Ovis aries: one gene and its partner. The protein of the gene in region 1 purifies or fractionates together with the protein of each later gene. This does not show direct contact. Links are inferred from orthologs where the notes say so. Each region holds a gene or a part of one and is shown on either strand. Other genes may lie near its edges. The genes, in order: RAB6B and SLC12A4.

The links.
Region 2: the proteins of RAB6B (region 1) and SLC12A4 purify together in Homo sapiens (co-immunoprecipitation; 3 studies listed by BioGRID and IntAct, with this or other methods). This does not show direct contact. The link is inferred for Ovis aries from reciprocal best matches to the Homo sapiens genes RAB6B and SLC12A4.

The regions. Positions count from the first base shown.
Region 1 is NC_056054.1:256,108,141-256,112,445, forward strand, and holds the start of RAB6B (ras-related protein Rab-6B), read left to right. Parts: upstream 1-1,293; 5' UTR 1,294-1,693; coding exon 1,694-1,763; intron 1,764-4,305. UniProt on the Homo sapiens protein: The small GTPases Rab are key regulators of intracellular membrane trafficking, from the formation of transport vesicles to their fusion with membranes. Rabs cycle between active GTP-bound and inactive GDP-bound states.
Region 2 is NC_056067.1:34,989,797-34,992,777, forward strand, and holds part of SLC12A4 (solute carrier family 12 member 4), read right to left. Parts: intron 1,723-2,981; coding exon 1,624-1,722; intron 1,469-1,623; coding exon 1,349-1,468; intron 1,148-1,348; coding exon 1,043-1,147; intron 790-1,042; coding exon 621-789; intron 331-620; coding exon 135-330; intron 45-134; exon of another isoform or gene 29-44; coding exon 1-28. UniProt on the Homo sapiens protein: Mediates electroneutral potassium-chloride cotransport when activated by cell swelling. May contribute to cell volume homeostasis in single cells. May be involved in the regulation of basolateral Cl(-) exit in NaCl absorbing epithelia.

The DNA of each region.
Region 1 (4,305 bases):
GTACTGACTTGGGTTCTAGATATTCACCCAAACATTCAACAATTATTTCCTAAGCTCAAAGTTAAGTCTTTGGGATTCAGCAGTGGAGACTCAACTGCTGATCTGGAACTCATCCTATAGTTTTTAATAAGCAATGAGAGAAAGATTCTAAGTAATAAACCAGGGAGTCAGACAGGAAGACATTCCAAGCCAGCTATGTAAGTCAAAAAGAGCAACAAATGCCCCCTAGAAAACTCCAGAGATGAAGGTTGCTTCTCACCTTTCTCTCTGAATGAAACACACACACACACACACACACAAACTTGTTCCCTAACATCTAGGGTATAATCCCAAATGAACATTCATTGAACGGCCCTAAAAGAACAGACCACCTGCCTGCAGCACAGCAGAAGCAGCTTGGTGAAACCTCAGTTACCCAGAATGCTAGGACCCGGTTGGGAGAGCATCTAATGCCTGGCACCTGCTCCTTGTTCTCACCCACTCACAAATTATCTGTGTGCCTTAACAGGTCAGGTGAATGTAAAGGCAAATGGGAGGTCTCCCTCCTGTCCTCTGGGAGCTCATTGTCCAGATACGTCTAATTGCCAGGGCAAGGAGTGGTGGTGTCAGCCCAGAGATCCCAAGGTCCAGGGATCCAGGGATCCATCCTGGAGATGGAGGAGCTGACATTCGGGGCCTCGTTCCTCTTCTCTCCCACGGGTCATTAGGTTTAGGATAAAGTGGTGCTTAGGAGCGGTTGAAGCAGGGTGCTCCTTTTATCGGAGCTCCTCTCCAGTTGGGCATGTCTGTGGGTGGGTGGGGGGGACACCTATGACTCTACAGAGGGGCCCAAGAGGAGGGATCTGGAGAGAAGAGAGGAGGGAGGGCCAGACACACGTACAAGATGCCAGTAGAGCCGGTCTGCGCCCACACGGTCCACCACACCCTGGCTCACCGACCCTCCCCCCCGCTCCCCGCCCCCCGCCCCCCGCCCTGACTTCTTTCATTTTCACCCTCTCGGATGGCTGGGCTGTGTGTATCAGTGTCGCAGGGGTAGAAAGAAGGGGTAACATCTAGGTTTAATTAACAAATATCCCTTGACAATTTCACGTCATTTTCTGCATTCAAAAGGGAGATGGAGTGGGGAAGACAGACGCAGTGGGGCAATGAGAGAGGGTCCGATTCGGTAGCCTCTTCAAGGAACGGCTGAGCGACCCTCTCTCGCCCGAGTGCGGGCTCCGGGTGGGTGGACTGACGCCCCTCAGCCCCGCAGCGCCACGGGCCCCGCATGACATCAGAGGCTAGGGAGCGCGCAGAGCGCAGGCGCGGGCGGAGAAGCAAGGCGGGAGGGGGGCCGACTGGTGCGGCTCGGGAGAGCGCTCCTCCGCCCCGCGCGCCTGAGCCCCGCTCCGCCCGATCCTCGCAGTCTGCGCCGCGCCTCGGGCGTCCAGAGCGCGCCGCATCAAGCGCCGCCTGCGGCCGCCCAGCCCCATCCTTCCTCCTCCTCCTCCTTATCTTTCTCCTCCTCCTCCGCCACCGGACACGCAGCCGCAGGCCGGGGCCGGGACGCAGCTGGGGAGCCAGGGACGCGCGCAGCCAGCCCTTCCCCCTCCGGCTCCCGCACCGCCGGCCGCCTCCCCTCGCCCTCCTCCTCTCCCCTCCCTGCTCCTTCGCTTCTCCTCCTCCTCCTCTCCCAGCCCCAGCTGCCAGCACCATGTCCGCAGGGGGAGATTTTGGAAACCCACTGAGAAAATTCAAGTTGGTCTTCCTGGGGGAGCAGAGCGGTAAGTACCCCGCTTATTCCCCGGGTTTGGAGTCGAGCCCACCCCCGCCGCCAAATCATCCACCCCACTGGGACCCCGACCTCGGCTCGAAAAGGCCCCTCGGTGCCCGGGTAGAGAAGAGGTTTGGGGATGGGGAGGTCGTGGCCGGCTCGGAGGGGCCGGCAGGGGAGGCTCCAGGCGTAAGGGACGACGAGGCGCTGGGGCCAGAGGTGGGGGCGAGGGTGGGATCTGGGGTGGGGGCTCGGGGTGCGGCGCGCCGGGGACACCGGAGGGCGGCGGCTCGCTCGGCGGCGCCGGCCGCGGGCGTGAAGGCTCCGGGCTCGCTGGCTCGCTCGCACTGCGGCACCGGCTGCGGGCGACCGCGCAGGTGGCGGGGCGCCGATGAGGGTCGCAGGGAGGGCGATTGCACCTCTTTAGAGAACGAGACGGCACTGGCGTCTGGCCGCTCCCCAAACCGCGGCACCGGAGGGGCTCCCTGGGGCCCCTGACGGGAACCGTAATTGCAGACACGTCCAGGCCCTGGGGCAGACGGCCGCGGCGAGAAGACCGACATCTGTCTCTTCTGAAAAGAGCAGGTGCAGATCGTCGGGGAACAGGGCGCCCACCTCCCCTGACTTACGTCCGACTGGGCACCGAATGTTCTAGACCCGTCGCCCTTCGCTGCTGTGTATTAGCCGCTTTCGGGCTCAGGGGTCTGAGCGATGACAGCAGGGGGTCCCCAGTGCAGGGCAGATTTGGGGGATGGAACCGGGGCGCCTTGCACCGAGAGCCGCGAAGCCCGGCGCTGGGCAGAGAAAGGACCAGGCGACACGCCCTGCCTGGCTTCCCAGCACCCCTCCCAAGAGCGTTCTCGGCGGATTCTTCCAACCCCCACCTCCCAGCTCACCGCCCTTCTTGGGGGAGGGGAGGCCACCGTGGCAGCGGGCCAGGGGCCAGGGAGACGAGGAGACAAACGGCTTTCCTGCTGTCTGGTAGCTCCCCCGGGGAAAGCGTCTCTGAAAGCCAGGTTAGTCCTGAGGAGGGAAGACCAGCCTGAAGAGCATGGAGCCTCTGACACTTGTAGGAAGGAGTGGTTCTCAGAGCATCCCTGCAGAGGCCTCTCACCTGAGGCTGCGGGGAGACAGGCTGGGCCCTGACCTGCTCTGGGAGAAGGCTGTCTCTGGAGGCAGGACCACCAGCTGTAGCTCTACAAACCAGTCCGGTTCACCTGGTCTAGTGCCTGTCTGTACAAGGGGCCGCAACACACACAATCTTGGGAGGACCTGGTGAGCTCCAGGTGCTGCTGTGATATGTGTGTACATATTGCTTGTGGAGGTCACATGACAGTCGCCTGCCTGCCGCTGCTCATTAGCTGGGATGCAGGGATGGCTCCGAGAAGGGTGTCAGAAGGTGGCCAAGCTCTGACATGGGTTTTAGGGCCAAGCTGGGCATTTCTGAGCAAGATGAACTCAGCCAGCCAGCCCTGTGTCCTGGACTTTTGAGTTTCTGATCTTAGTAGATTCCAGTTTCACAAAACTAACTTTTTCTTGTGCCTAAAGGGATTTGGGAGTAGAGGGATTGGTCTTCACATTACAGGGCTAATCCAACCGGTGCTAGAGCCCTGGGAGTTGAATTCTTAGCTGTGTTCCCTTGAGGAGATTTCGAAGCCTTTCTGAGCCTTAGTTTCTGTCTCTGTAAGATGGTTGCCTGAGGGTCGTTTTCTTACCCCTTCATGTTTCCTCAGTGTCTCTCAAAGGGCTGGACCCTGAGAGGTTGTCAGTAAACACAGTTTTATTCCAAGTCTGAATATGCTTCAGTGAAGGAGGTTTGGTGAGGAGAATGCATCTGGTGTATTTGAGTGAAAACTCTGGGCTCCCTCAGAACCTCTGATGGGCTGAGGCCCCTGATGAGCTCTGCAAACCACCTTTGCACCTAAAATCACAGAAACAAGAGCTGAAGCCCTCAGAGCGTGAGCCCCCATGTTTATAAGGGAAGCCCAGCATGTTTATAAGGATAGGGTGTGGACCCAGAGGTCTATTGTGAGTTGCTAACACTTCTGGGACTGAAACTCGTGTCTCCTGTTCCCGGTCACTAACATGCCATTGGGAAATGAGGTGACCTTGAATTGGGAAAGCCAAGAATTGGGAATCTTTAATCTAGGAGGTGGTGGTTACCAAACTCTGGCCAGGATTATGGCTGGGTTGGGTGACCTGGTGGGAATGCCAGGCTAGTCGTTTGGGATCATGGTTTCTGAGCCCTTTGAACATGGTCATTAGGAGAAAAGGCACTGCCATTAGCCACATTGATTCTTTCTGGCAGGGAGCTCTAAGGCCCTGAAGACTCCTCCCACTTTATTAGGTCATTAGTGGGTTATTTACCTTCAATTTTACAGAGCTTTGGGGTCCCCGAGTTATGCAGGGGACATGTGCATCCCTGAGCCTGACGAAACAGAAAAATTACCACCACAACCATGACTTCCATCTTGCCTGCAAGCGCTTTTACACATGTTGGTCCTTTGTGCCCACATCCTCCACAGCCTGTGTAGTGGAGGGAGCCGCTGAAT
Region 2 (2,981 bases), on another chromosome or scaffold:
TGGGCAGCCGTGGTGCAGCGCACGGTGTCTAGGGAAGAGGGGCACTATCGACCCATGACTCTCTGGCCTCTGCCCCCGCTTAACCCCTGGCCCCTGCCCTATGTGGTGGAGCCCAGGCCCTGTGTCTCACACACCAATAAAGGTCTTCCAGGCGCGTGGGTCCTCGCTCTGTCGCCAGCCGTAGGGCCAGCCCAGCACCACGGTGTTGTGCCTCATGCCACCCAGGCCACAAGACTGGATGAGGTGAGCCAGCCCCTCCCGCACCTTGCTGGCCACTACCACCTGGCAGAAGCCCTTCACCTTCTCAATCTCCATCATGTTCTTGATTGTCTGTAGGGAACATACCCGGGTCAGAAGGCAAGGCCATCCATGTCCCCTCTGCTGGGTTCCCTGCCCAGGCCCCAGGGTACAGAGCTGCTTGGTGGTGGGGGAGAAGATGGGGGCAAGCTGCCCACCCAGAGGCCATGCTTGCAAGATGGAACCTTCATACCCACCTGGCTCCCGCTCTCAGCTCACCTGGCTGGCCAGGACTGGTCCCCTCCCCTATGCACCAGCTACAGCCCAGACATCTCCAGTCTGGTTTAGGGTCCTCCTACCCCTGACTCCCGCCCCAGCAGTACCTGCTCAGCGGCCTGGGCCTCTCCGTAGCTCTCCAAGAAGCTGCCCTGGATGACAGAACCGACGATGGTCAGGCCCTTGCCAGCTTTAAGCTGGGAGGCGAAAGTGAGGAGCCGCGGGTACTTCACATGAAGGTCCTCATCTAGCTTCAGCAACACCAGTAGCTGAGGCCTGAGTGGCCGGATGGAGAGGCAGCCTGAGATCAGGGCCCGAGATCTGCAGGGAGCCCAGCTCCCTCCTCTCTTGGCTCCCAGGCCCCCTCAGGTAGCAGTGATCCAAGGGCCCGATAAGCAGGATGGTGCCCCTGGCAGCTCAGGACAGGGAACACGGACTAGGGAGGGAAGCCAGCACCTCGTGACTCTCCCCTCTCACAGGGTCGCCCCCTGAAAACCTCGACTGTCCCCGCCAGGCCCGGGTGACTCACCGCCAGTTCTTGGTGTGAGGAGGGCCCTCCTCTAGCCGCAACAAGGCATAGCGGGCAGCGCTCAGGGACAGGCCTCGGATCCCATCGCCCCATTCCTTCTCAGCCCTGCAGAAGCCCCCAAAGGCTGATGGGTAAACCCCTAGGACTTGTGTCCATGTGTATGTGGGATGGAAGGGACCAGGCCCAAGTCACAGCCCCGCAACCCCCGTGCCATGGTGGCTTAAAGAAGGATGGCTCAGCTTCCCACACCCAACTACAGCCCAGCCCAGCAGCCCTGAGCACCCGAGTGGGTGCTCCCACACTCACCCTTGGTACTCAATGTACTTGTAGATCATGCCGGCGATGAGCATGGCAACCAGGGCATAGTACCAGGAGGAGACAAACATCAAGGCCAGGCAGAGGCTCATGCCCAGGAAGGACAGCGCCCTGGGCCAGAGATGGGAAAAGGGCCAGAGTCAGGGAAGGACCTCCCAGTCTCCCAATAGAAACTGTTGCCCAGAAAGTTCAAACCCCATCCAGAATGGTTTCCCACATAACTCTCATGTCAGAGAACCTGGCTCAGGGGCCCAGCTGGCACGTACCAGTGATAGTACTTGAACCGAGGCCGCCAGTTGGGGGTCCTCAGGAGTGTCTGCACAGCACAGGCCAGGTTCACAAACAGGTAGCACATCAGGAAGAACCTGCGGCACAGGGAGCAGCTGGGACTGAGCGGCCCGCTTGGTAGCCAGGTGCCCGAAGTCCCGGACCCTCCCCAGCCTGGGCCTAGGTGAGGAGCCGAGACTGTCACAGCCCTGCCCGGCACAGTCAGGCAGGTCGTCTCGGCCTCACTTTGCCCACGCCCCGGGCCAGATGTGGATGGGACATTGTGGTGGTGCCTGCAGAGCCTGGTCTCAGAGGATGTTGAGACCACGAGGGGGTTGCGGACAGGGGGAACAGCTGTGGAAGAGGATGGTATAAAGGGAAGTTCAATGCCTGGATGCAGCTAGACAAAAGCCAGGCCTCTGGCCTGGGGGACCAGTTGGATGAGGGGCTGTCATGAGTGTGGGGAGAGGGCGTCCAAAGAGGGCCATTTAGAGTCACTGCATTAGAGACACTTGAGGGACACTTCAGTGGGTGTGGGAGACCAGGATGGAAGAGGCCTACTGCTTGAGCCCCCCAAGAAAGACAGGAAAGGCAGAGGGCTGAGGGGAGTGGCTGCCCACTTCTACCCTCAGCTGGTGGGTGAGGAAGGACAGACAAGGAGGCAGCAGGGCTGACGAGAGAGGGCAGGCCGGGGGCAGGGACTCTCACAGTAGGGGCATGCTCAGTCCCGTTAGGGCTACAGGAGAAGCAGCCTCAGCATCAAGGCTGACACATCCTGACATGGGTGTTAAGGGGCCACCGCCTGAGACAACTGCGGCAAGGGTAGTTTCAGGTGTAGGTGGAGCTGGGCGGAGGTGTGTTGGGGGAACAGGGGAGCACTGACTCCGGCAGGCCTGGCTGTGGCTGGGAGGCGCAGCTTCAGGGGGAAGGGAGCTCTGTCAGTCCTACCAGCCGAGTGGGGTGGTAAAGGGTGGCTCAGACACAATGGAACAAGCAAGAGGGCACTGGCTGTGGAGCAAGGCGTGTGAGGAGGGCACAGTGGCCCTGGCACTGGTGGAGGTGAGCAGAACGAGGACACTAACTGTCTCTGAGACCCCTGGAAACTGCTGCGTGTTTGCCACCTCCTGCAGGGCACTGGCAGGTTCAAATGCCCAGCTGACTCCAGAACTTTAAAAGCAAGCAACTTGAAAACAGGTGTATGGACAGTGGCGGCTCATCAAGGGGGCTGAGATTGCTGCTTGCCCGTCCCTGCTCTGGGTATCTCCCATAGAGGCACAAGGGACCTACTGGTCTCTTTAAAACATCTGAGTAAGCACTGGAAGGCAGAGGTTCAGAAGGTTGAGCTCTGCTAGGCAAA